Mus musculus: one gene and its partner. The protein of the gene in region 1 interacts with the protein of each later gene in a biochemical or structural test. Links are inferred from orthologs where the notes say so. Each region holds a gene or a part of one and is shown in the gene's direction. Other genes may lie near its edges.

Evidence for each region.
Region 2: the proteins of Vdr (region 1) and Hr form a complex in vitro, tested with the Homo sapiens proteins (2 studies listed by BioGRID and IntAct). The link is inferred for Mus musculus from reciprocal best matches to the Homo sapiens genes VDR and HR.

What each region holds. Positions count from the first base shown.
Region 1 is NC_000081.6:97,901,308-97,916,189, reverse strand, and holds the start of Vdr (vitamin D3 receptor), read left to right. Parts: upstream 1-7,893; 5' UTR 7,894-7,955; intron 7,956-14,882.
Region 2 is NC_000080.6:70,548,183-70,563,266, forward strand, and holds the start of Hr (lysine-specific demethylase hairless), read left to right. Parts: upstream 1-6,051; 5' UTR 6,052-6,925; intron 6,926-8,165; 5' UTR 8,166-8,206; coding exon 8,207-8,818; intron 8,819-9,446; coding exon 9,447-10,227; intron 10,228-11,456; coding exon 11,457-11,607; intron 11,608-11,690; coding exon 11,691-11,881; intron 11,882-13,629; coding exon 13,630-13,794; intron 13,795-15,084. Other genes in the region: Reep4 (receptor expression-enhancing protein 4), read left to right, coding at 3-157, 248-313. UniProt on the Homo sapiens protein: Histone demethylase that specifically demethylates both mono- and dimethylated 'Lys-9' of histone H3. May act as a transcription regulator controlling hair biology (via targeting of collagens), neural activity, and cell cycle.

The sequences.
Region 1 (14,882 bases):
AGGACAGCCAGGGCTAGATAGAGAAACCCTGTCTCAAAAAAAAAAAAAAACAAAAAACAAAAAAACAAAAAACAAAACAAAACAAAAAAAACCCAAACAAACAAAAAAACCAACCAAACCTCTTTCAAAACCAACTGATAATGGCCCAAACCAAAGACTTCAGTTAAGTCGTCCCATGTATAGAAGCTTTAACTTTCAGAGACAGAATGTTCATGAAGGAGGTTGAAGACAGTATGTCTAACTCCCTTTCCCAAAACCAGTGTCTCCATCGCCCCAAGAAGCAGCACAGAGCCAAGGGGCAGAGCAGTGTAAAAGTCAGACAGCGGACTCATCTGATAAGTCAATGCTTGATAGCTCGCTAAGCCTAAAACTTCGACAGCACGTCTAACACGCAGAGACTTCTGGATCCAGACACTACCTCTCTCCTTTCTAAAGCAATGGTCCCTAAGAGAAGATGCTCTGTGTGCTTCCCTATGCACAGAGAGGCAATAGTCTGACTTTTTTTTTTAATTGTTTTTGAGTTTTCCTTGTTGGTTTGTTTAAGACAGGGTTTGTGTGACCTGAGCTGTCTTCAACTCTCTGAGTATGGCCTCGAACTCCTGCTGCTTTGTCTCCCGAGTCCTGAATTCCTGGAAAATAAATCACTGGGAAAAAAAAAAGAAATCAAGTTTTAATATGTTGGTAATGTTAGAGAGACATCAATACCATCTTCTGGCCCTCTTACCCAGGAGCCAAGCGTCAAATCTGCTCTGTGAAATATCTCGGTGCAAAGAGTAGATGCTAGAGGAGTCAGGACAAAGGTCAGAAAGTATCAAGAATATCATTTGAAGTTTGAGCTGATATTCACTACTGTTGTTGACGAGTCCCACCCATAGCGTGACTAGAGATTTTAGCTAATGGTAATCATTTTAAAATGATGTCTATGCATGAGCACTGTTAGGTCTCAAAGCCAGGACAAACGGTGGCTGAGGTGCCTATTTAACATATCAAAGCAGTTCTGGCTGCCAGGTTCTTACTGAGCCCCCTCCTGGCTGTCATATCACATCCTCTACCCTTAACTTCTCCAGCTCAGGGGCTGGGTTACCCTTGCCCAGCTCTCCCTCCCTATAGAATAGAATCTAACCATTTGGGTACCCAGTCTTTTTCATTTACTCTTTTGGGTGTCCAGGCTGATGCACCTCATTACCTGCTCTCCTCTCTCCCTTGTCCTCCCCCGCCCTCTTCACATGGCTCAGGGTCCTGTGCTCTCTGGAGTCTCTCAGATGCCTCTGCTTCTGGCTATGTTCTGCCCTTTGTTTACAATAATCGTCCTCCTCCACCATATCTACCTAGGAGCAATCATGTCCTTCCCTTTTTTATTTCTTTTTTTTTTCACTCATACATGTCAGTTTCTCTTTTGTGAGTCGGTTTTCACAATGAAAGCATCTTGAGGTCACTTCTCGGTGGCAGGACACCCCGACAGTGCACAGCACAAGACATCTCTGCCACCCTACCCACAATAACTCCAGCTGGAAAGGGGCGTGGACAGCAGACACACAAGCTCTAACCATGCTGACGTCTTTGACAGCTAAGAACAATGAAGTGAGCACTTCAGAGGGGGGCAGCCAGGATTTGTGGTGTGCTTATCCCAGGCTGAAGGCCAAAGAGGAGCTGTCAACGGACACATCTTTCTGGAGTCGGGGCCCCAGGGGAGAGATGTTTAACGCATTCCTGGGCTGCTGACGGAATGTCCTCTCTGTTCTGAAGAAACACGTAGGCGTGGTCAGGACCTGGGCTACAGGGCTTCTGCTCACTGGTTTGAAGGAAGGGAGATGGTTGCCCAACCACCCTCCCTGGAGACACTGCTTTATACAAGGAGGGATTTTAGAAGGCAGCCAGCTTTCCCCTGCTAAATTCTCTGGCAGCACTATGACAGTAACGTAACTCCGTTGTCATCTGTGTCATTCCTAAACCACAGAGCCTCTCCTCTTACCTCCATCACTTGGCTCTTCCACAAGACCTTCTTCCTCAGAGGAACAAACTAGAAATTCCCAGATGGGTTGTAAGTGCGATTCTCTTCACCTTCTGCAAGACTACTTACTCATGATCCTTGCAAAAAAACAAAACAAAACAACAACAACAAAAAACCGCTCAGACAGTAACTGGATGGGAAAGGAGTAAGTCATAGGTTCTGAGCCTATGACTTACTCCAACAGTATTAATGGTTGACTACGGGGGTTGGAGAAGTGTCATCATTGTCTGCTGCAGATTTGGACAGGAGCCTAGCAAATACCTGGAGGTTGGGAGAGCTCCACGCTGCCTCTGCTTGGAGATCCAGGTAGAAGTCTGCACTTCCCCATCTGACTCCCCCAGGACATGCCAACTGACACTGTGTGCGGGCCAATGGATTGGCAGGCAACCTGGACTGGAGGATGTGGGAACAGATGATAAACAGATGCCCAAACCCCTCAAGGATAAGACATGAGCTGGGCTGCTGGGAATGGAGCCGTGGAGCCAGAAGGATTTAGAGCCAGAGGCTACCTGGCAGCACCTGACTGTTTCTAGAGCAGGTGGGGTCTGTGGCTCTCACTCTTGACTCTCCTCAGAGCTGGCCTATGCTGGACAAGCCAGGATGCCTGAGATGCCATAGGCTGCCCGAGGCTGGAAGGCTAGAAAACTCAAGACAGTGGTCAGGTAACACTTGACTTAAGGCCACGAAAGCAAACCTTGGTAGACACAGGTTGTCTCAGGGACCTCATGTTCACCATAGGAAAAGAAATCCCCAAAGTTCCAATGCCACCATGGAGCCCCTGTGGAATTCTTTTTTTTTTTTAATTTATTTATTTATTATATGTAAGTACACTGTAGCTGTCTTCAGATACTCCAGAAGAGGGCATCACATCTCCTAAAGGATGGTTGTGAGCCACCATGTGGGTGCTGGGATTTGAACTCAAGACCTTTGGAAGGGCAGTCAGTGCTCTTAACCAATGAGCCGCCTCACCAGCCCCACTGTGGGATTCTTGATGGTGCTTCTGGCATTCTGTGTTGGTCTCTCAGCTCAGGTTCCAGGCTCTTGGGAAGGTGTCCCATGGTGTGCTGAACTCAGAAAGGCAAACTCAAACAAATCCTGATTGGAGGCTACAATCTAGTCTGTGTCTGTGTCTGTGTCTGTGTGTGAGTGTGTGTGTTTGTGTGTGTGTGTGTGTGTGTGTGTGTGTGTGTGTGTGTGTGAGAGAGAGAGAGAGAGAGAGAGAGAGAGAGAGAGAGATGACAGAGACAGAGACAGAGACAGAAAGAGAGACAGAGAGAGAGAGACAGAGAGCTAGAGGGAGGAGGGAGCTAGAATGTAGAGATCTAGAAAGGGAGAGAGGGAGAGTAAGAGAAAGAGATTGGGGGGGGTCTCAAACCTAATTAATGCATTAACATGTCAAACAGACCTGGCCACCAGGTTCTCCCAGCATTCCTCAGTCCCTACCTGTTATATGGTATAGCAGGCATGCCCTACCTCCTACCTACATTAAACTTCTTCTGTCCAGGGGCTGGGCTACCCTTCCCTATATAATCCAGACATTTTAATCTAAGTTTACCCTCCTCTTGCCCATCCTCTTGGCCTAGGCTGCACCTCTTGGTTGGTGGTTCTCCTCCCCTCTCCCTTCCCCCCTCTTCCTTCTTCCCCTCCCTTCCCCTCCCTTCCTTCACCCCTCTCCATAGCTCAAGGTCATGTCCACTCTGGACTATCCCAGAGGTGCCTGCCTCTCGCTATGCTCTCCCTTTTATCTACAATAAGCCTCCTCCTCCACAATACCTAGGGGCTGTCACACCTTTACTTTTTAAAAAAATTTTCTTTCTTTCTTTCTTTCTTTCTTTCTTTCTTTCTTTCTTTCTTTCTTTCTTTCTTTCTTCCTTCCTTCCTTCCTTCCTTCCTTTCTTTCTTTCTTTCTTTCTTTCTTTCTTTCTTTCTTTCTTTCTTTCTCTTACCCAGAGAGAACCCACTTCAGTGTAGCTCTTGCTTCATGAGAACGTTTCTGCATGCAGTCTGGGTCATGATGGATGTGCGTCTTTGCTAGCTAGCCGCTGGCGTTTGGAAGCCATTGCCCTGGAAGAGCCCTTTTGGTGCAATTGCTTTCTCTGCGTGCAGCGCCTCCATTTATTCATTTCATCTGCATCATCTGAACACAAACACGAACGGTCCCAGATCCCTTTTGTCCTAAAAGACGGCTGAGTTAACCTTTCCAAACTTTTAATTTCATAAAAGCGTCTAAAGGAGGAGCTAAGCGAGAAGATTTGGTCCCTTCTGCCACCATGACCCTGCAGCTCCGTGGCTCTCGGGGCATCTTCTTCTGGCATCTGTTTGCTGTCTGTCTTTTCACATGCCCATAACAATAAAATATTACAGAGGAGGAAAAAGACCAAGGATGGGAACAAGCAAATGGTCAGAGGGAAGCAGTCCATTGAGAGCACAAAAGGCACCACTCTTTTATCAGGGAAACCCCTCTGTCATAAGCACAGGGTCTGTGGGAATGTCAGAGACAAAGGGATTTGCTTGGGATCTTACATCATGGCCAGGAACTCAGAGAGGGCCAGCCAATCTCTGAGACATTATTGCCCAGGATGCAGGAAAGGGGGTCTCATAGGCTGACGACAGGCCACATCTGCCCACACCACCCATAGACACCCAGGGCCTAGTAGAAATGACCAGAGACGAGGCTTTGCCTTATGGGATGCACAAGGCGGTTCCAAGCCCTGAAGTCCCTCCTGCAAAGAGCATGTCCCTGGCAGGGGTTATTTGCTAATATACAAATGGCTGAGTTAGGGACTGGAGAGATGGTTCAGTGGTTAAGAGCACCAACTGCTCTTCCAGAGGTCCTGAGTTCAATTCCCAGCAACCACATGGTGGCTCACAACCATCTGTAATGGGCTCTGATGTCCTCTTCTGGTGGGTCTGAAGACAGCTACGGTGTACTCATACATAAAATAAATAAATCTTTTTTTTTTTTAAATGGCCGAGTTACAGAATTCCTAGGTAGTTTCTGGTAAAACTGATCAGAGATAAATACAGAACAGAGACAATCTGACCAAGTGACCAACACCACCCTTCTAAGGACAATAGAGAATGGTATATTTAGAGAGAAAAAGAAAAAAGAAAATTCATACTTTACACAGAGGATCTGGCACATGGGTCCTGCAACAATCTAGAGGAATTTTGTTTTCTGTTTTGAGACAAGATTTCTCTGTGTATCCCTCCCCATCCTGGAACTCACTCTAAGACCAGGCTGGCCTGAAACTCATAGATCCACCTGCCTCTAAAGTAATTTAAAGCTACTAGTTCTGAAGTAGAGTTCCCAGAGAATGTTGTCTGTTCTCAAGGCTTCCAGGAAAGAAAGTCTGAGAATGTAGCCTTCCTTCCAGGACCTACCCAGGTATGTGTGAGGTCAGGAGACAATGACCTTCTTTCTAGAAGAAGAGAGGGGGAAAGAAATCTTGCTTTTCCCACTGTTACAAAGTTACTTTTCTGAGAACAAAGCTGGGGGTAGAACAAATTCTTATTCAACATAAATACAAAGTATCTTGTTAGAAGGTGAGAAACCCTGGGCTAGAGGAACATATACTACAGCGGCTCATTGTTGCCGGGAGATGGTGGAAAGGGTTTGATGGACAGAGACAAGGAGGAGACTAGAGTCTGGAGAGCCAGGTGAGAGGAGGTGGTCCGGGAATTGGGGGAGTCTCGGAGGACATCACTAGGGGTGTGGTTATTGGGCCAATCACGGAGTGTGTTAAACACAGCAAGGACACCTAGAACCTTGACAAACCTAGCACATCTGACTTCTTCCTGGCTGTTTTTTTTCTTTAATTAACACCAAGGGCATGTATCTATCTATCTATCTATCTATCTATCTATCTATCTATCTATCTATCTATCTATTCATTTATTTATTTTTATTTTATGTACATTGATGACTTGATTGAATGGATGTCTGTGTGAGGGTGTTGGATCCCCTGGAACAAGAGTTACAGACAGTTGTGAGCTGCCAGGTAGGTATTGGGAATTGAACCCTGGTCCTCTGGAAGAGCAGACAGTGCTTTTAATGGCCAAGCTATCTCTTTGCCCCTCTCCTCACATGGTTGGTTTTTCTAGACTGTGATCCAATAGGTGAAAATTACTTGGGATTTTTTTTTTTTTGAGAGGCAGTGTGAAATGATGGAGGTCAGTCATAAAGAAGACGGGGTTCAAGTGGTTCTGTCATTGCCCAGCTGCAAAAATGCCAAGTTTTAAGATGGGGGGGGGCGGAGTTTTTGCTGCTCTGTCTTGAAAGATTGACATGAAGGTTGAATAAAACATCCAGAGAACATGCTACCCTATGTGAACTTCCAGCTCACGGCTGTGAAAAAGATTCCCAGTAAGGTCAGTATGGCTTATGTAGGTGCACATCTTCCATCGCCTCCTGCAGAGGCTCACGGGGGGGGGGGTTGGGGGGGTTGGGGGGGTTGGGGGTGGGGGGGGGGATTTCAAAATGCCCTAAGGTGTTGGCTGTTGAGACTCCCTCCTGTGCTTTTCTTCTTGAGAGAGTCAGCTTTCCCCTGATGTTCTAGAAAGTGATTCTTTCATTTAGAATAAATGATTTCTTTTTTCATTTAGAATAAACACCAGCCTGGGAGGGCTCCCAAAAGGCCTCTTCCATTCATTCATTGAGTTTAAACACCATGTGTCACATGTTTTCTGAAAACGTTGAAGCCTTCCCAGAATGTTTCCACTACCGTCTCTTAAAGAGCTCCTCACAGCTTCCCCTCAGACCCCACTGTCTGGAAGCTCTTTCTTCTATTTAGCCTCCGTTGGTTTCTTGGGGACAGTCAGCAAGAGCTGGAAGGGGCAGTATTTCTTCCACTCTAACACCTCTGTGTGAGGAATGAGAAGTGCACTAACCGCCAGGCTGGGCTCTCATCCTCCACTGGTCCACGGCTTGGTCTGTGCAAATCACTGGGTTCTCCACCTCCCTGTCCCCACTGAGCCTCCTAAACATTATCTTTCCTAACTACAGGAGGTCACCAACTGTCCAGTGACATTGGGGGTATCTGTATTCTAGAACACCCTTATGTTTATTTATGCATACATCTCCTACTCAAAAAAGGGACCCCTATAGACTGCGGAGCACGGAGCGTGTGAGTAGAGTAATCTTTATCCAAATTTTTCTACAATGAGTTCTCAGGAGCCATGCACAGTTCCAGGTCTTGAGGTGAACTTTGTGCCTTTCCTTCACACCAGGGTCTCGGTGGCAAGGGATGATCTGGGAGGCAGAGACCTCAGAAGCTACAGCAAGGCTTGCTGGAATGAGATGCAATTAGCCAGGAACATGCTCCGTCGGTGTAGTTAGCAGAAGAACGTCAGGTAGGAGAGAGGACGCAACTCCAACCTCCAATCTGGTTTTCTTGGGCTAATCCTAACCAGTAGAGTCCGGCTGAGCGCCCTGCAGGAGAAACTCACCTGAGGTTCCCCATCCGGCGCGCGCAGAGAACGGCTCCCTGCAGCGCGCCGCGGGCGTCGGGGTCCCGGGTCAACTCAGGTACGGGTGACACACCTGGGGGAGGCGTTTACAGCAGATTGGGTAGAACCACGGCGGCAGGGGTGGGTGGTGGCTACATCACGGATCATCACAGGCAGAAACGTGGATTTGCACACACGACATCATCAAATACTGTTCCACGGAAGGCAGACGCCTGTGCTGCACTGTGGCTGGCGGTCCTGGAGCCCCTCACAAGGCAGGGCCTCCAAGGCGACAGTGCAGTGGTTGATTCCAAGTCAAGAAAGTTTCAGGGCTTCAGAGGACTGAACTTAGTGGGCGTGGTTGAGGGGCAGGGCGGTCCGGGGGCGGGGCCTTGCGGGGGCGGGGCCAGGTGCTGAGCAGTCTCTGCTTGTCAAAAAGCTGCTGCCGAGCCCTAAGCACGGGAAGCGCCGAGCTGTGTGTCCACCGCCAGACCAGGTGCGGATCGGGGTGCAGGGGGAAGGGGGTTCTGGGTGAGTGGTTAGACCCGGGGCAGGCGTCTGGGATCTAGAGGTCTCAGCGTTCGGGTGCAAGCGCTAGAGTCCAAGACTCGGAAAGCAAAGTTGGCGACTGAGATCCGGGCTGTGGTGCCATGAGGTTGGGACTCTGAGAGGGCACCCAAGTCTGAGAAAGCTGAAGTTCGTACGAGGCTGGCGAGGGGACAGCCACCTCCGCGATGCTCAGGCGGCTCAGCGTGGGAGTCCTTAGCTAGGAGGGTGCTCAGCGCTGGACAACAAGAAGCGTTTGTTTCTTTCCTGGGACGGGCGCTTTGACTTGGAGTGGAGGAGTAAGAAGGGAGTGATTGGCTGTCGATGGTGCTAAGGTCTCTGGAGGTGGAGTGTGTAGAGCCTGTTTATTACTTCGCGGAGCCATGTGTGATCACCAGTGATAGTGGAGTGGAATCTTTTATATGGAGTTTTTTCCTTTTGTGCTTGCCTTTCTAAAACCGCCGGTGCTTTGAGACCAGTGTGCTAGGTTTCTCTTTCAGGAGAGCCTGTCCACAGATGTCCAGAGGGACTCGAGGGTGAGCGTGGAAATTGAGAAAGGGGTTTTAAGGACTAGTTTCTGTTTGGAGAGTGAAGGGACTTGGATGCAAGAGGCGAATCTAGGTAGGATCTGCGTGTGATCTCCAAGTCCACTGTCTCCACTATGACTATCCCCTACCTGAGGCTGAATCTGCCTGGGCTCTGGGAGCCTTGGCTCTCTGAGTCTGAGCAACCCTCCTCCTCCTGCTGTTCCTCCTCCTTCTGCTCCTCCTCCTCTTCCTCCTCCTCCTTCTCCTCCTCCTCCTCTTTGTGGTGAATGAGTCAGCCTCCTGTCTGGGCCCAGCAGCGGTAAGAGGGGCCAGAGCCTAGGCAAGCAGTTGGGCAGGCATTTTCTGGGCATTGCAAATGTTCCCTTGGACAGAGTTCAGGTCTGCCTCGATGCCCCGAGGAAAGCCATCTTCTTCATGACACAGGAGGTGGGGGGGGGGGGAATGTCAGCAAAGGCTGATGGGCAAGGGATGATTCCAGGAGATGGCCACGAAGAGACAGTGGCTTTGTGGTAAATCCTCACCTCTTCCTATTCTTAAGAACTAGAGGCACATCCCAGTACTGTGGAGTTACCAGGCACTGGTTCCATTTCTACCTTGTCAGGTACCCATCTTGTCCCGTAAGGCAGGCATGCAGGAGAAATCAGAAGGCCGAGGGAGCAGAAAATGCAAGGAATGCTCTCCCCAGGCTAGGGAGGAAGAGTGGACTTCTGAGGGGCAGAGAGCAGTTGTCTGGACCCAGGACCGTCAACTCTGTAAACTAAGGGTTTTTATATTTGGGGGCCATCTCTATTCCTTCTCTAGCTGAAGACTGGAGAGAATAGTGTGTGCAGCCAGAACAGGAGACAGTAGGAGTGAAAGTGTCTGCCTTTGTTTTGGATACTAGAGACCCCTTGAGCAGAAATAGGTGACCCGTAGCCTTTTCTACCTTGTGTGAGGGACACAGGGAGGACAACAGGGACATTGCTTCAAACTGCAAAAAGTAGGAATCCCCAGTCAGTACTCCTGGTCAACTGTGATTTGCTTCCTGACCAAGATAGAGAAGGGAAAGGAGAGAAAGGAAGAAAGTGGGGCAGCTTAGCCGACCCCCACTCTTCTCCAGGCACAGTCATAAGTCTGCGTATACTCTAGCGGCCCTGGTGCGTTGGGCTCTACTTATTTATAACATGATCTATTAGTCTCCCTCCCCCGCCCACCTCTGAACTGATCTCTTGGAGGGACTGAATCCCCTGGGAAGCCCCTAGAGACCCCCTGGCCCTCTGCCGTAAGCACAGATTGTAGATGTGCAAATCCTAGGCTTTCAGTAGAGGAAGGCCTAGGGTCTAAATAGGTAGACCGAGAAGTCACCCAAGACAGGAGAATGCTGCTGTTGAGTGTTGCATCCTATATCTTAGAAATTGTCTGAGATCAGCCTCTTGGCTCCTACCGTCTACACAGCAGCTAAGCAAGGCTGGGGTGCCAGGATCTAATTTGTAGTTGGATCGTGGGCTTCTGCTTGCCACTGTTGTGAATTCATTTGGGGTGCAGGTAGAGGGAATAAGGACATGGCCATATTCGACTGAGAGCCTTCTGTGTGTCCCAGCATGGTGGCAGCCCCCTGTCCCAAGAGATGCCAGCAAAGCAGATCTGTTTGACTCGATTCAGCCTCCAAATCAACCTCCAGAAGGGACAGCAGCCCTGGCACTGTCTTCCATTGCTCTTCAGTTCGGGAGGCTCTGACTGGGCTGCAGCCAGCCTGGCAGCAGCTTTCGACTACCAGGACCTCACTTTTAATTACACTTCTCTCCTGTTTGTCCTTAACATTGCTTCATGTCATTGCCCGATGAACACACACACACACACACACACACACACACACACACACACACACGCACGCACAGAGCGACTTATGATTTATTATCTAAACTGGGTTTCTCATGAGTGAGTGAAGGGGGTTTTGTGTGTGGCTATGCCAAGACATAAACCCAAACCAGAGTAAGCTGGATACCTTACCATCCAAACCCAGGAGAGGTCACTCGGAGTGATAAAGGGACAAGAGGGTCGGGAGAGACTTGAGGCTGAGGTGAACGTGGGGCAGCCTGATCCCAAGGGCAATCACAACACCTCAGCCCACTCTCTGGCCTGGTCAGCCAATCCCTGGCCTGGTCAGCCAATCCCTGGCCTGGTCAGCCAATCCCAGGCCTTCCTTAAGGGTAGCAACGCCCCTGGACACCTCATCTCCAGACTCAGCCTACCGCTGAAATGACTTTCTTTTGTCCTTTGCTTGTCCTTATCCTGCCCTTACCTTTGGTTTTTCCTGTGCCACGGCAGCTCAGAAAGGGACAAGAAGACCTGCCAGCTCTTCTTTAGCTTCCCCAAGGGAACTGGGATAGAGTTAAACTAAGAGTTGGCCGCATGCTTCCTCTTTCCTGTTTCCTATAGCTGCTTTCTTGGTCCCTCCAGCTTCCCAGACCTCTGGGGACTCTCCCATGTCCAAAAGAAGTCCCTCTCTAATGAGAGTAGACAACCAGGAAGGGAAGGGCATTCAGATCTCATCCTTGTAGATAAAGGGCACAGGTCAACTAGAATCAAGATCCAGGAAAATGACAGTCAAGACAGGAAGCAGAGCTGGGGCAAAGCTACCAAGTCGGGCATAGAACTGCCACCCTTGGATGCTAGCATTAGAGCTTCCTGTCTCTGATTGTTGGAGAAATGGCTCAGGGTGGGACAGACACATCTTGCTCAACCTAAGCTATAGGTGTTGGTGGCAGCGACCTCATCCTATGGTAGTGACATGTGGAAGAGAAACTGCCCTCCCTTTGAGTCCTGGGCCTCGTGGTTCAGATACTCAGGGCATCCTCTCTGGAGAGTCCCCAGAGGCCGAGTGTGTGAGTGATTAGGGCGTAGGACACAGGGGAGGGGAGCCTCCATGACTGTGGGGTGACTGTTTACTCTGGCAAGCCGGAAGTCATTCTTTCTCATCACTATTAATGAAAAGAGGGAGAGGGACCTCTTGGCAAGTCCTGCCTGCCTGTACAGAGTGGGGAGGTGGTGAGAACCCCCCCTCCCTACTGAGCTGGCTAGGGGAGGGCAGGGTGGCTAGTGGGCAAACAGCAGAAGCTAGAGGAAGAAGCAGAGGGCGCTGTGAGAGTCTCAGTGTGTGCCACGCTTCTGTGAACCTGCCCTGCAGGTCTCGTGCCAAAGAATAAAGTAAGCAGTGTTCTCAGAACCAGATGCCGCACAAAGTCTTCATTCTGCACAGGGGAGGGTCCTGTCGTTAGCAGGGTGTAGGCAGCTGTACCAGCGGGAAAGTAGAGTTTGGGCAGCACCAAGCTCCCGTTCCCGGGAAGCTACTGCTTCTCGCTGCTCTTCCAATGCCAAGCCGAACCTTTAAGGTATTCTGCATGGTGTGACATTCCAGACACTATGGAGCTCTCAAGTCTTTGCTGGTGACAGGACTAGTGTGTGCCACCTGCTGGTGCTGAAACCATAACTCTAGGAACAGTGGCCCACTGGGCCCTAGATACCCGATGCTATGTGCTTAGTAGGTACAGCCTCCTGGTCTTTCGTGTTAAGAAGGAAGAATTCCTGTGCCCATTCTACAAATGGAAAAACTGAGGCTTAGCAGAGTTGCAACGTGAAGACAGAGAGTCAGGACTGCTGAAATTACAGTAGTTACTCCCAGGAACTCTACATTTCTGCGTTCCCAGTAAAGTCGCAGACACTTAGTGCCGTTGGCTTCCGTGTTATAGGCTCGTAATCAGTGTGTGTGAGCTGTGGGGTCAGATTCACTCACTAGTTTGAACAAGCTGACCTGAGCATTAAGTTCCCTGGGTCAAAGGTTGTTCAGGGGATGGTAGTGTCTCAGAAGTCTCCTTCCGACTTCTGTGCCTCTGTCCTGGTCTTAGATACAAATCCCATTTCAGAAGCATCAAAGAAACTTAGCGTCATGCAAAAATTGCACAGAATTCGGCGATACTCAGGTGCCCCGGAAGGGTAGAAGGAATCCTCTTTCCGTTTCAAACAGCTGTGGAGTGCTAGGTGAACAGGTTAAAGAGGCCACTGTCCCATCAGCTCATCTGTGCTGTTCTTCCTTATCTGGCCCCACCCTGCTCCCACTGACTCTCTGAGGCTCCTGACCCCCGAGAGCTTTCGTGCCTGGAGAAATGGACTCCAGCCTGTTCTGAGATCTCCAGTCAGGCCCTGTGCTGAGTTCCTGAGCTCATTAACTCGCTTACCTTTGACATTAACAGGCAACAGTGTCCTCCAGCACGCAGGAGGCTTTGAGGCTGGGCTAGCAGCTGGGAAGGGCAGGAGAAATAGAGGCAGAATTGTGAATTGGTCACATTCTAGTTAATGACTTTGGAGGCAAATTTCTTTTTTATTTTTTTCTAATTTAATTTTTTTTACTTAGTCACTTTACATCCCACTCACTTCCCCCCCACCCCTCACCTCCTCCTACAATCCTCCCTCCACCCCCATCCCCTTCTCTGAGCAGGTGGGGGTCCCCTGGGTATTCTCTGTTAGGCTTGGCACTTCCTCTCCCACTGAAGGCAGCCAAGCTAGAAGAACATATCCCATGTATAATATAGGCAACAGCCTTTGGGATCGCCCCTGTTCCAGTTGTGTGGGACCCATGGGGGGGGGGAAATTTCTTAATCCCTCCAAATTCCTGTTTCATTATCAGTAAACTGAGGGCCATCATAGCCAAGCTGCAGAATTACTGAGAACTAACAGTGGAAAGTCAAGTGCCTGGCAGAGTAGACTTCTGAAAAGCTCCTACAGTTGCTCGGTGGACATGGGCTAAGGCACCGGGAATTTAACAGTAAAAGAAAGGTTATAATGAATGTTTCTAAGTTGATAGCACATGGGAGGAGAGGAAAGAGGGGAAATCGAGGCCGGGATATAAAACAACAACAATCCAAATTGATAGCACAGAAACTCATTGTGAGAGATCCTGTGGGACCTCAGGAATGGTTGAATGCAGATGTGGTAAACTGGTTTCTCATTCTGCCAAGCGTGAGACAAGGAACCTGGGAGCATCGCCGAGCTTTTCAATCGTCTTTTGTGTTTTGTTTTGTTTTGTTTTAATTGAGAAATAATATCATTCAAGAGTATATATAACATGTTTACAGATGGTATGCAACTATACTAACCACCCAAGTTAGGAGTAGAGCATTTACTTTTTAAAGTATATGCGTGTCTCGGCTGACAAGAAGGATCACGGGGTAAAGGCACTTGCTACCAGGACTGACAAGCTGAGTTCAGTCCCCAGAATCCATATGACAGAAGGGGGACGATGCATTACCACAAGTGTCCTCTGCAGTCCACATCTATGTTGTTGTGGTGAACACACACGCACACAATCAATCAATCAATCAATAATGTGAAAAGATTTAATGTGTGCATGCGTGTGTGTGTGTTTGTGTGTGTGTGTGTTTGTGTGTGTGTGTGTGTATGAGAGTGTGTGTATGTGTGTGTGTGTGTGTGTGTGAGTGTGTGTGTGTGTGTGTGTGTGTGTGTGTGTGTGTGTGTAGGCGTGTAGACCAGAGGACAACTTTTGGTGTTAACCTTAGGGACTCCATCCAGTCCTGGGGCTCCTCAATTAAGTTAGACTGGCAGTGAGCCTCAGGGTTCTGTCTGTCTGCATCTCCCACTTTGGATTACAACTCGCAGACACTCAGAGATCAAACTAGGTCTTCCTGCTTTGGGGAGAGCAAGCACTTTACCAACTGTGCCTTCTCCCCAGACTATACAGTCTCTTAACCAGCACTTACTTGGTCTTGCCCTGGTTACCAGAGCCCTCTCGTCATTCCCTAGGGTGAGGTAACTTTGGGTTTGTTATTCCTTGCTTTCTTTTCTAAGTTTCCACGTGTGTTTTTGAGACAGTGTACGGTGCTGGGTCGCATGGCGTCGGGGCTGTTTACACACCATTCTCTGTCACATGCCTTTTCACGGGACCCACGTGCTCTTCCACACTGACACACATTAGTTAACGCTGCGATCGAGCGTTCCGTTGTTAAAATGCCACACGTTGTGTGTCCTCCCTCTTGTGGACAGACCTCTGCGTTGTTTTCAGTTCAGGGCTACTGTGAAATGATAATATGGTTGCTTCCTGCTTCATCTAAAGGCATCACTGGTCCACGCAGGATCCCACGTTTGGAGTTGATATTAAAAACAAACAAACAAACAAACAAACAAACAGACAGACAAACAGACAAACAGACAGACAGACCTCGAACTTCTCCCTTTGGTTGTGAATAGAAGGTCCCTTTTTCCCCCCTGGTTTTCAATACTCAATATCGACTTCATCTCCAAAATGACAGAATTGTTCTAGACAAGTTTATGCAGCC
Region 2 (15,084 bases), on another chromosome or scaffold:
AGGATACCGGCCAGGCGGCCTGCAGGGCAGTGACACAGAGGATGAGTGTTGGTCAGACAATGAGATCGTCCCCCAGCCACCTGTTCGGCCCCGAGAGAAGCCTCTAGGCCGCAGCCAGAGCCTTCGGGTGGTCAAGAGGAAGCCATTGACTCGAGAGGTAAGTGTGTTGGAAGGACGGCATGAGGGGGGTGTGGATGGAGCTGCAGTGCCCACACCACTCAAGGTATACTGGCTTTCTCTTCCCAAGGGCACCTCACGCTCCCTGAAGGTCCGAACCCGGAAAAAGGCCATGCCCTCAGACATGGACAGCTAGAGTCTGCAGATTGAGGCCACCTTACCTCTGGAGCCAGCAGGGGACCTTTCGCTGCTACACCAGCTACCGGGGTTCTGCTCCGTCTGGCTTGTGCCTAAATGGCACATGGCGTGGTACCCTGCACAGGGAGACATTCACTATACCAAAGCAGCCCAGGCCTGGGGCCTATTTATTGCCTTCCTCTGCCTTTTACTTTCTCAGACACGGGACCAGAGCCCCACCAGTCCCTACCGACGAAACCAAAAGTCCAACCAGCTGTGTTCATTCCTTCTTGTCCTTCAAAATACTTGACAGCCTTTTCCAAGGCCTGGTGTGTGTGTGTGTGTGTGTGTGTGTGTGTGTTTACGTACACTAGCTGCATGTTTCGTGTTGGTGAGTGAGGTCAGGCTTATGAATATTTTTATATAAATAAATACCAAACAGTGTTTGGCCTCTCCTAATTTGTCTCTTCACATCTCATATTGTAGCTAACAACTCACTGCAGGCTCTGGCAAAGGGTGTAGAGACTGCTGGAAGATCTCTGTGCCCCATCCCAGCAGCAGTATTCTTACAGTTGCTCCTAGGGATCCTTGTGGAGTTAGGGTAGAGCCTGGTGTATTGGCACAAGCCTTTGATTCCAACATGGTTGAGGGGGAGAGGGCAGGAGGATTTCTGTGAGTCCAGCATGGTTTACATAGCCAGTTCCAGATCAGCTAGGACTAGAGAGACCCTGTCTCAAAAAACAAAAAACAAAGAGTCAGACTGATCTTGAAGGGTCAGTCGGGAATCAGTACTTACAGGAAGAGGCAAAGAGATGGGGAGCCTATAGAAACTGTACAGAGCAAACCTGAGGAGGCAGGCTAGGTCTTCCATGAACCTAGAGGAGCCACAGTTCAGTGAACTCTTCCTGTAGACATTCAGATACGATTAGGGTGAATTTGCACTCTAAGCCACAAGAGGGCAGCAGCTGCCTAGGGCCAGGCTGCCCCCACCTTCCAGGTCAAAGTGGGCGGGGCTCAGAGACGAGCCAACGCCTCACCCTGCTGGGGCCTGGATGCTGATGGGGCAGGCCAAAGGAATGATGATAGCCAATGATAGCCCTTGTCTGATGCTTGCCTTCTCCATCCATAGAGACCCAGGCGCTTGCCCTGGGTTGACTTTAATCCATCTCCTTTGATCCCTGGGTCATCTGCCCCTAAAGTAGGAGGCACGTTGTACCCAGGGTCCTCCCTCCTCCCACCCCATCTGTCCTTCCTTCCCACTTCGGAGTCAAGAGTGCTGGTTGGAGGAAAACTATGAGCTGCTAAATTGGAGTGTCCTGTGAGGATTAACTCTTGGTGTAGGGATTATCTGGGTTTTATTGGAGGGGAAGGCACTTAATCTGTGTGGCTGATTTAGCCTGGCATGGACTGGGGTTCAGTGGCTTTTCTCTATGGCATCCCCTCTGTATGTGATGCTGACTCTTACTGCCTCATTACTTCACCCAAAAGATGTGTTGCTAGGAACTGTAGGGGTGAGGAGACAAGGAAGTAGCCGCTATTACTATGATCCCCATTTCCCAAACAGGCACACAAAGGGCAAATGATTTGCCCAAGGTGGACTAGCTAGTAAGTGGCAGGATTGGGCTTTGGACCAGGCAGTCTGGCTCCAGAGTTGATGTTCTTAATCACTATTCAGTAAATGGGCTGTTCCTTGCCTGGGGGCAGGGGCAGGGAGAAGGAGTCTGGCATGTGTGGGATATTTGTTGCTCGCCTGACCTTGTGCTGAGCATTTCAGAGCTGGTTTCTTTGAATCTTCGCAAAGGGCCTGTTGTCCATCTTACAGGTGAAACGGCTTTCTCCTCTATAGAGGTGCTGCCCGAGAGGTGGGCAAAGTCACTTGGTCCTCCTGGGAGGACTGCTGAAGCCACTGTGCCCTGGCTCTGCAGAGCCCACCTCTGCCCTCCCCCGGCCTGCTTTGTTCTCCTACTCCAACTCATACACCTGTCTCAGAACCCTCTGCGCGCATGCCTCTGCCTTGCCTAGCCACTCACGGAGAGACTTCAGCCTTATTTTTACTGTTGTATCCCAGACTACATGGTTGAACCAAGGTGTGATATTTTTATAACTGTGTGATTTGTTGGTGAAATCCTGCTTAGTGTCTAACTTCTGCACTGAAACGTCACCCCTTCCTCTGAGAAGCCTCTCTCACTCCCCAGCATAGGATTAGAAGTCGTGGAGTCACTTGTCACCACGGTCATATCTCTAACTGTGGCTCCCAGCCTCAGCTCAAGGCCTGACACCCATCCGAAGCCTGAAAGAGGATTGTGACTAAACCAACACATACATCAAACATCTTAAACCTCTTCAGGGTGGGAGTGAACTTTTGCTTTGGTGGCTGTGCCGTGTCACCTTAGTTCCACCACACAGCTTTCAAAACACCAGTGTCTCTGGTATGGCTTGGTGAATGGCTGGGTAAAATCACATGGTTACTAAGCATCCTGAGGCCACAGAAAAACAAATGTGTAGAAGGTCCAGGTGGTAGGCATTTCTGGGCAAGCATAAATGTGAGCCAAGACTTGGGGCACTGGGTAGCAACCTGGACATCCCTCAGAACAGCTCTGAGAACTACCCAAACACACCTTCACCCAACACTATCCTCCCCTGGAAAAGAGCCCTGGACCACCACTGATGCTCTGGCCTGGCCTCTTAAAGGGAGGGCATCTGGTCTTGTTCCTACTTTCCAAGGACCACCAACTTTCTACTTGAGACCAGTGTGCCTGGTCTCCTCCCCAGATAGGATCAAGGTTGGAAAAGGACCTGACACCAGAGACCAGTCCCTAGCACATACCTTCTGTGAGTTCTGGTCCCACCCCCACTCCTCAGCTTTTCCTACTCTTCCTGGCCTGTTACCATGACAGCCGGGACTTCCTCTCACAGTCCTTTCTCTCTCCACTTCACCTCTTGCCATCCTTTTTTAACCCTCTGCCTCTGACTCCATCACTGTCCCTCTGACCTGTGGCCCTTCATTAGCCTGGTCACTTTCCCCTTCTCTGGATTCTGTCACAGCACACAGGATCCTGTGGCTTTATTTTTAGCTGCCACTCCCAGCAGCATCCTAAGCCTCTGGGTCCCACACATGCAGCCCTAGCCCAGGCTGAGTTAGGGGTCCTGGCAGGCACTGGAGGAGCTCCAGGGGGTAACTGTTCAGGTTCACATCCCCATTTCTCACCCAGCATCTGAGATTGGTGCCCACTAACAAGCGACCTTCACCGCTGGTTCCTAGGGTTGGGGGATCCTGGGGGCAGAGCTGGCATCGTTGCACACACAGGTCCCAAGTTCAGCCTGGAACACAACGCAGGCTAGATGGCAGTGGGGGAGGGCTAGAGAGAGGAAGGGCTCCAGAAGAGGAATTAGGTCAAGGATGTGGGTGGGTGGGCGAGCGAGCAGAAAGGACAGCATCTACCCCAAGCTTCCTCCTGGCTCCCGCAGCATCTCCACACTTCCCTTCCCTGTCCCCTCCCCCTGGTCCTGGGAGATTTCTTCGCCCTGTATCCCCCTTCCCCATGCCCCCCCACCCCAAGCATGGCCACAGGGGTGGGGGTGGGGTAGGGGGAGGCCAGCTTCAGCTGTCTGAAGGATGGAGGGGCTGGGGAAGCAGGGCTAGGTGCCCAGACGGCCGCGTGTGTGGGAGGGGATGTCCTCAGATGCCCTCCACCCGGCAGTCCCCGCTCTGACGTGGGTGCCCCCCCTCTCCCCGCCCGGATTAGTGGCAGCTTGGCCTGACTCTCCGGGGCTCCTTCCCCCGCCCTGCCTGCTGCCCACCCCTGGGCAGGGGGCTACTCTGCCTGAGGGGTACTGTGCTTGCCCAGGTAAGGGTCTCTGGGGTGGAGAAAGGGCAGCCGGCTGTCAGAGAGTCTGTGCCTGTCAGCAACGAGTGTGTGTCAGCATGTGTGTCAGTTTGTGAGGGGTCGGGGTGGGTGAGGGCTGGGCCCATGTGAGTCTGGGGGTGCTAGTAAGTTTGCCAGGTCCATGATCTGGTCTTGTGACCACACACTGGGTGGCTTCCCCCCCCCCACGAGCGCCCTCCCCCGTGTTTGTGTCTTTTGTGTATGTCCTCAGCTCTGCTCCATCCTCAGGCACAGCACAGCCAGCTGCAAGGACTCTGGCCTGTGGCATAGGCTCTAAGGCAAGGATGGGGAACGTGGTGGAGTGAGGGCAGTACTTCTCCTCACCTTCATCTCCACTAACCCCTAAGCATTCCAGAAGACTGTCCTGAGAGCTCTGGTCTAGCCCAGGCAATATAATCTGACAGGCAGATATGGCGACTGGAGGTGCGGGGGTGGGTATCTGTTCAGCTCCCCTGACACAGTCCCTATCACCTTAGGGGAAGACAGCCACAAGCCCCCAGGACTCAGGACAGCCCCGGGTTCCACTCTGGCCACTACCAGGCCTCAAGCCACAAGACTCTCCCACAAGCCTCTGCTAAGGTAGGCCAGGGAACTTAGATGGGGACCACAGGCACGTGCCACCCCACCACCCTGCCCTGGAGCCAGGAGCCAGAGGTCAGGCTAGACCCCCTGCTGCTCCAGTCCCTGTTAGACCCTCCTCATTCCGCTCCCTCAGCAAACTAAGGTCAGGTCACCTCCAAAGGAGTGGATAAGAAAAGGAGTATGAAAACCCCAGCCATGTAAACAACCCCTGCCAGCCTGCCCACCACAGACTTGGTCTCTGTGAAGGAGAGGAGCAAGGAGGATCTGTATCAACAAGGCCCAAGTCGGAGCAGGCAGCTAGGATGGAAGGACAGACCTCCTCCCCCAAGTACCTATCCTGGTCTTAACAATTGGTGAAAAGCTCCTTGCCTTCACTCCTGTCCCTTAAGTGAAAGACATTGGGCTCTTCATGATACCCCTCAACTTCAGAGATGGTGGAGGGACTTGGGACCAGGCTGTGGCCACCCAAATCCATTCCTTCCACAGCAGTGGGGGGTGGGAGTGAGAGTAAGTGGTGTTGCTTCTGTTTCAGCCTGGGCTCGGAGGCAGGGGAGTAGAGGGGCAGAAGGTGGGTGCTTTTAGAGAAGGGAAGCACCCGTTGGGCGTGTGGGTTTCTGTGTGTGTCTGAATCTGTCTGTCTGTTTGTGTGTGTGCTCTGGAACCACCCCCGCAGAAGAGCAGGGATGCTTCCTCGGGTGGAGGGTGCCCTGTTTGCCCATTTCCTCTCCTACTCAATGTTCCCTCCCAGGAGCCACTCCCATGGGCTCCTCTCCAGGCTGGGCCTGAGAGCACCAAGAACATTGAAGATGGGGCAGCCCAGCAGGCAACCCCAAGTGGAGCTTGCAATGCTTGTGTGCTTCTGGTCCCTTCACCTCTCTGGACACTTGGTAGAAATCAAGGCGCTTAGACCAGGGAACAGACCAGATATCAGGTCAGGCCCTCCCAGATTCCAAAGCATAGTGCTTTGTAACATTGTGCCCAGAGAGGGATGCTGGGTAGGGTCTTGGGCCCCGACACTATGAAGAGTGGCTTAGCCAGGTGATGATGAAGAATGAGGTAGGGAAGACACCAGCCATTGGGGTGTGCCCAGAGCTGAAAAGGACAGGGAGAGAGTGGTCCAGCAGGCACGGGCCTGCTGGCGTGGGTCGCAGCACCCATCACTGACCCGTGAGAACCCGACTGCCCCTGCCAGCTCTGGCACTGACCCCTCCCTGCCGCCCCGCCCTAGCACCCCGGGGGGCACCCCGCCTCATCCTGGCCTGGTCCGGCCCCTCCCGCCCTTTGCTCCAGTTCCCGGGCTTGGCACCTATAGTGGGGGTGCTGCCCGCCTGCCAGGCTCCGGGCCGGGCCCACGGGAGGGTGGGGCGGCTGGGAAGCTGGCACACTGCCCCAGGGGAGCCTCTCTCGGCAGGCGCCCGGGTGCCGCGGGGGGGAGGGGGGAACAAAGGGCTCATTCTCCCCGTGCGCAGCCGGTGGCATCGCCGGGGCGTTGGCGGAAGCCCCCGGGGCTCAGAAGGGGGCAGGCCCAGGCGGGGCCGCCGAATCACGGGCTCCTGTTTCCCGCAGGGTGCTGGAGGAGGAAACCGGCGGAGCAGCTTCCCCACTCTCAGTTGCGCGTCTGGCGATGGCGATCAGAGGTCCTGCTGCGCTCTCCGCTGCGCTCTCCCTCCATTAGCCGCGCTACGCGGTGCTGCGCCCTCGCTGGTGCCTCGCTCCTGGCTCACAGGATCGGCCCCCCACTTCCAGGCACGACCCCCTTCCCCGGCCCCTCGGCCTTTCCCCCCACTCAGCCATCTCCGACCCGGGGCGCGCGTTCCCCCCGGCCCGGATCCTTCTCTCCCTCCGGGGACACCCGCTCCCTAGCCCCGGCTCGACCCTCCCCAAAGCGCAGCACGGAGTCTCGGCGTCCCATGGCGCAACCCACAGCCTTGGCCCAGAAGCTGGTGCGGCCCATCCGCGCCGTGTGCCGCATCCTGCAAATTCCGGAGTCCGACCCCTCCAACCTGCGGCCCTAGAGCGCCCCCGACGCCCGGGGGGAAAGAGAGCGCGAGAGCGCTGAGCAGAAAGCGGGAGAACGCCCCGAAGCCGGCCCATGGGGAGCGAGTACCCAGCACCGGCTAGCACGACCGCCGCCCACACCGCGCCCGGCCTGTGAAGCCCAGGTAAGCGCCAAGAGGGAGCGCGTTCTGGGCTAATTGTAATGGGGGAGTTTATGAGCTGATCCCAAGGTGCAGGCAGGGAGTGAAGTGCCGGTGTCACTCTGAACTGAACCTTACATCTTAACATGGAAAAGTTAGGATGCCCAACTAAGGGGGCTGGACTGAATGCAAGCTGCAGCTCCAAAAATTCTTGGCGCCTCCGCCAAGGCTCACGTACATCCATCCCTCTTGGAGTTTCCTCTGTCCGGCCATGGGGACTACTTCAGGAGACTACAGCTGATCTGGTGCCACCTGTCATCCTGGTCCCTAGCAAGCGTGTTCAATTTTCCCTCGCTTGCGTCTCTCTGGGGCCCAGCCTGCTTTCCCCGCCTCCTTCCCTCCCCCCTCCGGGCTTCAGTTAGCAGCGGTGCCCTGGCACTGCCGTCGGGCTTGGGCAGCTCGACCCACCCTAGTCTGAAACCTCTTAATCCCTTCTCACATGCTGACTCCCATTGGGAGCAGAGATCCTAGCCCCCAGTAGTTGTCCCGGTACTCTTTGAAGATGCCAAGAAACTAGAGCCCATGAAGGGCAGATTCAGACAGCCCAGGGGTAGGGAGACACCAGCCAGCAGCCCTGGCTAGCTGCCCTGCCCAGTGACTCGAGCCTGTCGGGTCTGAACATCCCAGTCTTGCAAGCCTAGTGGGGGCTGAAGATGGGAGCGGGCAAGCAGCACCCCAAAAACCACAGACTGGCGTTTAGAAAGAATCCTCTGAGTTCCTCTTTTACATCCGGGTACACTGAAACCCAGAGGAGAAAATGACCTGCTGGACATCCGAATAGCAGGTGACACAGTCAGGGCCAGGATCCAGTCAGTCTCCCTGTCCTCGCAGCTGAGTGTCTTCTACTGAGCTAACCTTTTGCAGTCTTGCTTTCTATCAGTTTCCAAGACTTGTAACTAGATTCCTAGCTCCACATGGGCAGAGCCTTTCACCCTGGAAGTGACACCCTTCTATTGAATTTGGACACCCCCCCCCCACACACACACACACATTCAGATAGGGGCCAGAATTTAGGAAAAGGTATCAACTTCCGGCCATGAAGCAGAATCCTTTTGGCCACCTGTGGAAGGCTGCTTTGTGCCCTGCTGTGGCCTGACACTTGCTTTACTGGTTTGAGCCACTTTGGTATTCCCAGGGTGGTGCCCATGGTTGAGATACATGGGCCATTTGCCTAAGGGGCTCATGCTTTGTCCTTACCCTCCAGGACCCCCCTCCCCGGGAGAGGCCCATGAGGGCAGGAGAGTGATGGAGAGTATGCCCAGCTTCCTGAAGGACACCCCAGCCTGGGAGAAGACAGCCCCTGTGAACGGCATTGTGGGACAGGAGCCTGGTACCTCACCACAGGATGGCTTGCGCCATGGGGCACTGTGCCTAGGAGAACCTGCTCCCTTTTGGAGGGGTGTTCTGAGCACCCCAGACTCCTGGCTCCCTCCTGGCTTCCTCCAAGGCCCCAAGGACACACTCTCACTGGTGGAGGGTGAGGGTCCTCGGAACGGGGAGAGGAAGGGCAGCTGGCTAGGCGGCAAGGAAGGACTGCGCTGGAAGGAAGCGATGCTGGCCCATCCACTGGCCTTTTGTGGGCCGGCATGCCCACCTCGCTATGGGCCCCTGATACCTGAGCATAGTGGTGGCCATCCCAAGAGTGACCCTGTGGCCTTCCGGCCCTTGCACTGCCCTTTCCTGCTGGAGACCAAGATTCTAGAGCGAGCTCCCTTCTGGGTTCCTACCTGCTTGCCTCCCTACCTGATGTCCAGCCTGCCCCCAGAGCGTCCATATGACTGGCCTTTGGCCCCAAACCCATGGGTATACTCTGGGAGCCAGCCAAAAGTGCCCTCTGCCTTTGGCTTAGGCAGCAAGGTGAGTGACGAAATACAGTGGGTGCATGGGGTTCAATTGTCCCTAGCCCTGAAGACAACCAAACACTGGGCAGCTCTGTCTCCGTGCCTCTTCCCTGCCCTGCCCTTGGGCCTCTGCAACCACTGACTCACCCATAGTTCACCCAGGATCAGGCCTTAGAAACTCTGCCCGTGAAATGTGTGGCCTTATCATGAGGGGCCAGGCATGAGTGAGATGTGTCGTCCTCGTGGTCTGTTTCTGGGGCTCCTTCCTGACAGGCCACCTCACATGCCTAGAACCAGGTTTTTAAATGGTTGGAAGTCAAAGATGGGCATGAGAGTGCATGCCTGTAACCTCAGTACCCAGGAGACTGAGGCAGGATTGTGAGGTCCGTGCTAGTCTCTCTCCAAAAGCAAAACAGGCAAAAGGACACGAGGGTCAAAGCACAGAATTCTCTAGGAGGTCCTGAGGTCCTTTGGTCATGCCAAGTGTTAGCCATTCAGCCTCTGGAAAGCTTGGGAGAAGATTTGGGGGAGGGGATAGTGGGTGGTACCACTTACAGTCTAATTCACTAGTGACTATTGTCAGTCCTGTTTGCTCTTTTAAGTGTAGAGAACCTACACTAGCTTAATCCTTTCTCCTCTTTTAGGGCTTTTACCACAAGGATCCGAACATCCTCAGGCCAGCAAAGGAGCCCTTGGCAGAGTCTGGGATGTTGGGCTTAGCCCCTGGTGGGCATCTCCAGCAAGCCTGTGAATCAGAAGGCCCCTCACTTCACCAGAGGGATGGGGAGACAGGAGCTGGCAGGCAGCAGAATCTTTGCCCAGTTTTCTTGGGGTACCCAGACACTGTTCCTCGGGCCCCCTGGCCTTCTTGTCCCCCAGGCCTGGTTCACAGTCTTGGCAACATTTGGGCTGGGCCAGGAAGTAATAGCCTTGGGTACCAACTAGGACCACCAGCCACACCAAGGTGCCCATCTCCTGGGCCTCCTACCCCTCCAGGGGGCTGTTGCTCATCCCATCTACCTGCCAGAGAGGGGGATCTTGGCCCTTGTAGGAAATGCCAGGATAGCCCAGAGGGAGGTAGCAGTGGGCCAGGGGAATCCAGTGAAGAAAGGAACAAAGCTGATTCCAGGGCCTGTCCCCCAAGCCATCACACCAAGCTGAAAAAGACCTGGCTCACACGCCACTCGGAACAGTTTGAGTGCCCAGGTGGCTGTTCAGGGAAGGAAGAGAGCCCAGCCACTGGGCTCCGGGCACTCAAGAGGGCAGGCAGTCCAGAGGTCCAAGGAGCATCAAGGGGCCCAGCTCCCAAACGCCCATCCCACCCTTTCCCAGGCACTGGGAGGCAGGGGGCCAGGGCTTGGCAGGAGACACCGGAGACAATCATAGGAAGCAAGGCGGAGGCAGAGCAACAAGAGGAACAGAGAGGTAAGGGGGTGATGGGCTGCAGGGGCCCTGTTGAAATGCAGCAGGGCTGGGTCTTTATAAGGGAGTCCGTAGGCCTCTGCAATGGGTCATACTAAGATGGTGGAAGGTTTTATTCCTGAAGCAACACAGTTTTCTGGCTCTTAGTGTTGGCTACCACAGCCTTCTAGCCAGGGGCTTCCATCTCTGCCTGCCTCTTGGTGAGTTATAGGCAAGGCGACGCCACGGTCCAGAGCAGGGGTTCTGGAGACATAGCTGCTTCCTGGCATGCTAATCAGTACTTGTGACCTGGAGAACATGACTTCACCTCTGAGAACCTCAGCTCCCTCATCTATACAGTGGGAACAAAGGTGCTTCCTACCTTATGAAGACAACAGGAAGGACCAAATGGCTCATGGGGACGCTGAAGAACTCATGGCACTTAGCAAACAATAAGTGTCCAATGCCACGGTGATTTGTGCCACAGATCCTAGTTTAGGCATTACCTCTCCTGAAGGACCACTGGCAGCATCTTTTGGCCAGCTGAATCATAGAGACTCAATTTGGACTTTGCAGCAGGACAGCCTTTTGGGTACATCGTGGACTCTTCTGCTACACTGTGTCTGTCACGGAGGGTTCCAGCAATCCTGGAGCCAGACTGGTTTCTGCAGGATCACCTTATTCTCAGCCTCTTGGGCTGCTGGACCCAGGTCTCTGTGACCTGGCCCCTAAAGCCCCTGCACCTGGTGTGGGTCTGTCTGTACCCTTTTGTGCCTCAGTCTGGACTGGGAAGTTGTTGGCCCCTCTGCTGTCTTGGGTTACAGCACCTGTGTTCTGTGTCGAAACTGACCTTCTCCCTTTCTGGAGCCCTCCGACTGCCCATCCGTCCACGTTGGAATCATCTCACAGTGTCACATAGCCACTTAGCCTTTAGCTGACCTACCCAAAGTCTATACTGGCTGGATTCTGCACGTGTACAAGGACCATTGCTCAGGCTTCCTAGAGACTTGGGCTGAACATGCTAAACAACCCCTGAGCCTCCATTCCTACCAGGGACATCTCCAGCTACTGCTCAGCTTTGTGTGTGAAATATACTGGACTGATCCTCTTTCGGGTTCTGAATTGGTCCTCACAAGCCTGGGGTCCAGGGGCTGAATTGGCTGCATGTGGACAAGGGTGGGTGTTAATTCAGGGCTTTGACTAGCATAAGCCCCAGAAACCAGACTCCCTAAGCAACTGTATTGTCTCCCCAGGGCCCCGAGATGGCAGGATTAGGCTCCAGGAGTCCAGACTTGTGGATACATCCTGCCAGCATCACTTAGCAGGTGTCACCCAGTGCCAAAGCTGTGTCCAGGCAGCTGGAGAGGTAGGGGTACTGACCGGCCACTCCCAGAAATCACGTAGGTGAGTGTTGTGTCTGACAGTCAGAGCCAGCAGCACTCCATCCCCACCCAGGGGCTCCCTCCTCAAGCTTCATCCATTTCCAGGTCACCCCTGGAGGAGAAGCAGTTGGAGGAGGAGGATTCCTCTGCCACTTCCGAAGAAGGAGGAGGAGGGCCTGGCCCAGAAGCTTCACTCAACAAGGGCCTGGCCAAGCACCTGCTGAGTGGTTTGGGGGACCGACTCTGCCGCCTGCTGCGGAAGGAGCGGGAGGCCCTTGCCTGGGCACAGCGAGAAGGTGAGCCAATTTCCCTTGTGGGCCTGCTCCTGCATGTCCCTCCCAACCCACGTTTACCAGTGCTTTGGGGTTCCCAGGCCTACTCAGGAGAGCTCCGTCCTTCTTTGTTCCTAGCTATCCCTAGCACGGACTCTTGGTCAATCCTGAGGTTTCTGGCCTCCTGGGGAGTCTAAAGACTTGGTCCAGTCTAGTTCTCTAAGAACAACTGGGCTTATGGAGGAAACAGCCAGTGCAAGTGTCTCAAGAGCCTGGGAGGTGAGGCGACTCCAGAGAGGTTAAGGGCAAGGAAGGTCTCTAGAGTGGTGAGGCTCATGGGCCTCAGAAGTTGATGGGATTCAGGCTGAGGGTCAAGGACCTTCCGCTGGGTCCTCAGATCCTGGCCACCCCTCTGCAGCCCTTTCTAGCAATGGTGTGAACTTCGTGAAACACAGCCCTGGTCCCACATGTCACTCCTTTCATGGAGATAACCAGTGTCACCATCCCACTCCAGAGAGGGAAGCCCCTAGTTTGTTGAGCCATGAGCCAGCCACTCCCAGCCTGGATTCCTGACACACATCACCATCCTTCCCTTCCCGGATCATCAAGCTTGACTGCCCCCTGGGGCCTTGGCACTAGCTATTTCTTCAGTCTGGAATACCCTGGCCATCCCTTCCCATCTGATGGATAAGAGCTTACTCATCCTTTGGGGCCACTTGTAAAGTTCCTGGCCACGTCACCTTCATCTTCCCATGGTCTTTTCAGCCAGGAGCACCACAGTCATCCTTGTGTCTGTGAGTTGTTTTCCTGAGTGGGAATGAGCTCTGGGAGGGCCATACCTATTCCTGAGAAACTGAGTCGTTTGTGCCTACTTGGGACATGATTGGGTGTCCTGGGTGTGTGCAACCATGGTCAACCATGAACTTTGGCTCTTAAAAACAACAACAACAACAAAACCCCACTCCTTTGGGTAAGGGTAGGGGTGGCCTCTTAGGGTTTCCTTTTCTAATCTACTAAGTCCCCTGGACTTAAAGGAAAGGCCATCTGAGTAGCTGCTTAGCCTTTCCATTTTTGGTAGCAGTGGGGCTTGAGGCTGGGGAGGTGAATGGGAAAATGTGCTGGAAGTGGTAGGGACTCAGTTTCTCAGGAATAGGTATGGCCCTCCCAGAGCTCATTCCCACTCAGGAAAACAACCCACAGACACAGGATGACTATGGTGCTCCTGGCTGAAAAGACCATGGGAAGATGAAGGTGACGTGGCCAGGAACTTCACATACAGGCACACTGGGGAAATCCGCTGGGCAAGGCTAGGGGGTGGGGCTGGCCGAGGCCACTGAGGCCACTGCTGCCCTAGGAGTGCATGTCCCTAAGAGGGTGGCTACTGCCAGACAAGACTTGAGTGAAGTATGAGGAATGGCCAAGGAGCCCAGCTCCTTTCTCCCAGTGGTTCTGGGTAGACATTGCTCCCTGCCTCCCCTATGCTCAGAGGTTCTCACCCTTCCTAATGCCCCTTAATACAACATCTCATGTTGGGGTGACCCCCAATCAAAACATTATTTTTGTTGCTACTTCATAACTGTAATTTTGCTGCTGTTATACATTGTAATGTAAATATCTGACATCCAGGATAGCTAATACGTAACTCTTGTGAAAGGGTCGTTTGACCCTCAAAGGGGTTGTAACCCACAGGTTGAGAACCCTGCTATGTGCGATCTCCCCAAGGGGGCTGTGTGCTTGAGCCCTCTGACCCTGTTCTGTTCTGTGGTCAACAGGCCAGGGGCCAGCCATGACAGAGGACAGCCCAGGCATTCCACATTGCTGCAGTCGATGCCACCACGGACTCTTCAACACCCACTGGAGATGTTCCCACTGTAGCCACCGGCTGTGTGTAGCCTGTGGTCGCATAGCCGGTGCTGGAAAGAACAGGGAGAAAACAGGTGAGGAAAAACAGATCTGCCTTGTTAGATTCCTATAATTTTGTATATACGAGTGAGTTTTGTCTGCGTGTGTGTGTGTGTGGGCACCACATATGTGCCTGCTGCCACATATGTGGAAAGTAGAAGAGGGGGGTCAGAGCCTCTGGAACCAGAGTGACAGACAGCTATAAACTGCCATGTGTATGCTAGGAACTAAACCTGGACCCTCAACAGCAAGTGCTCTTAACCACTGAGCCAACTCTTCATTTCCCTTCGTACCCATTCTTTAAAGAAGTCACCTGGGAACTGGGGATATGAATTTGGTTAGTAAAGTGATGACCAAGCAAACAGGAGGACCTACGTTCCGGTCCCTAGCACCTGTGTTAAATCTGGCCATGGTGGCCCACTTGGGGATCAGAGACCTGCAGGTTCCTGGAACTCAATGATCAGCCAGCCCGGCTGAATTAATGAACTCCAGGTTCAGTAAGAGATCTAGCCTCAAAAGATAAGGCAGACATGTCCACACATGCACGTGCACGCATGCCCTCGGATGCAAACACACACAGAAGTCAGGTGCCTTCTTCACACTTCTCACTTTGATAAGCTTCTACATTAACATCGTGAAATGGGTGTGATTGTCTCCATTATCAAGATAAGGATAACTCAGAGTTGATCAATGATCTGTTCAAGGTCCCAAAACAAGTCAATGTTATAGCTGAGGTACTAGTCTCAGGTCCTCTAATTCAGTCCGATCCTTCTCAAGGTTTTCAGCTTCCACTTCCCTGGCTCGACTTAAACATTGCTAAAAAGAGTTCTAGAATCAGGTACATTTTTTTTTTAATATCACCACCCTGGAATCTTCCGTGAAAAAAAAAATTGATTGATTATTTATTGACTGATTGATTGCTCTATCTAGTTATGTGTGTGTGTGTGTGTGTGTGTGTGTGTGTGTGTGTGTGTGTGTGTGTGTGTAGCGTGCACACATATATGCACGCACTCTCCACAGCAAGCATGTATGACGGTCAGATTTGGAAATCAGTTTTCTCCTCCCACCATATGAATGCTGGGACTCAAACTCAGGACCTTAGGCTTGGTGGCAAGCTCCTCTACCTGCTAAGCCGTCTCATTGCCCACCCACCCCCACCCCCCCACTTTAGGATCTTGCAAAGCAGTTCAGCATAGGAGAACCTCTGCGTTCCAAAAACAAGAATTCTACGGTTGTTACATGCGCACAAGTTTCCCAGCAAAGTGCTTGTTTTGTGGCTTGCTGAGCTCTGGATTTAAATACCATGTACTTGGCCTTCTTCCTTG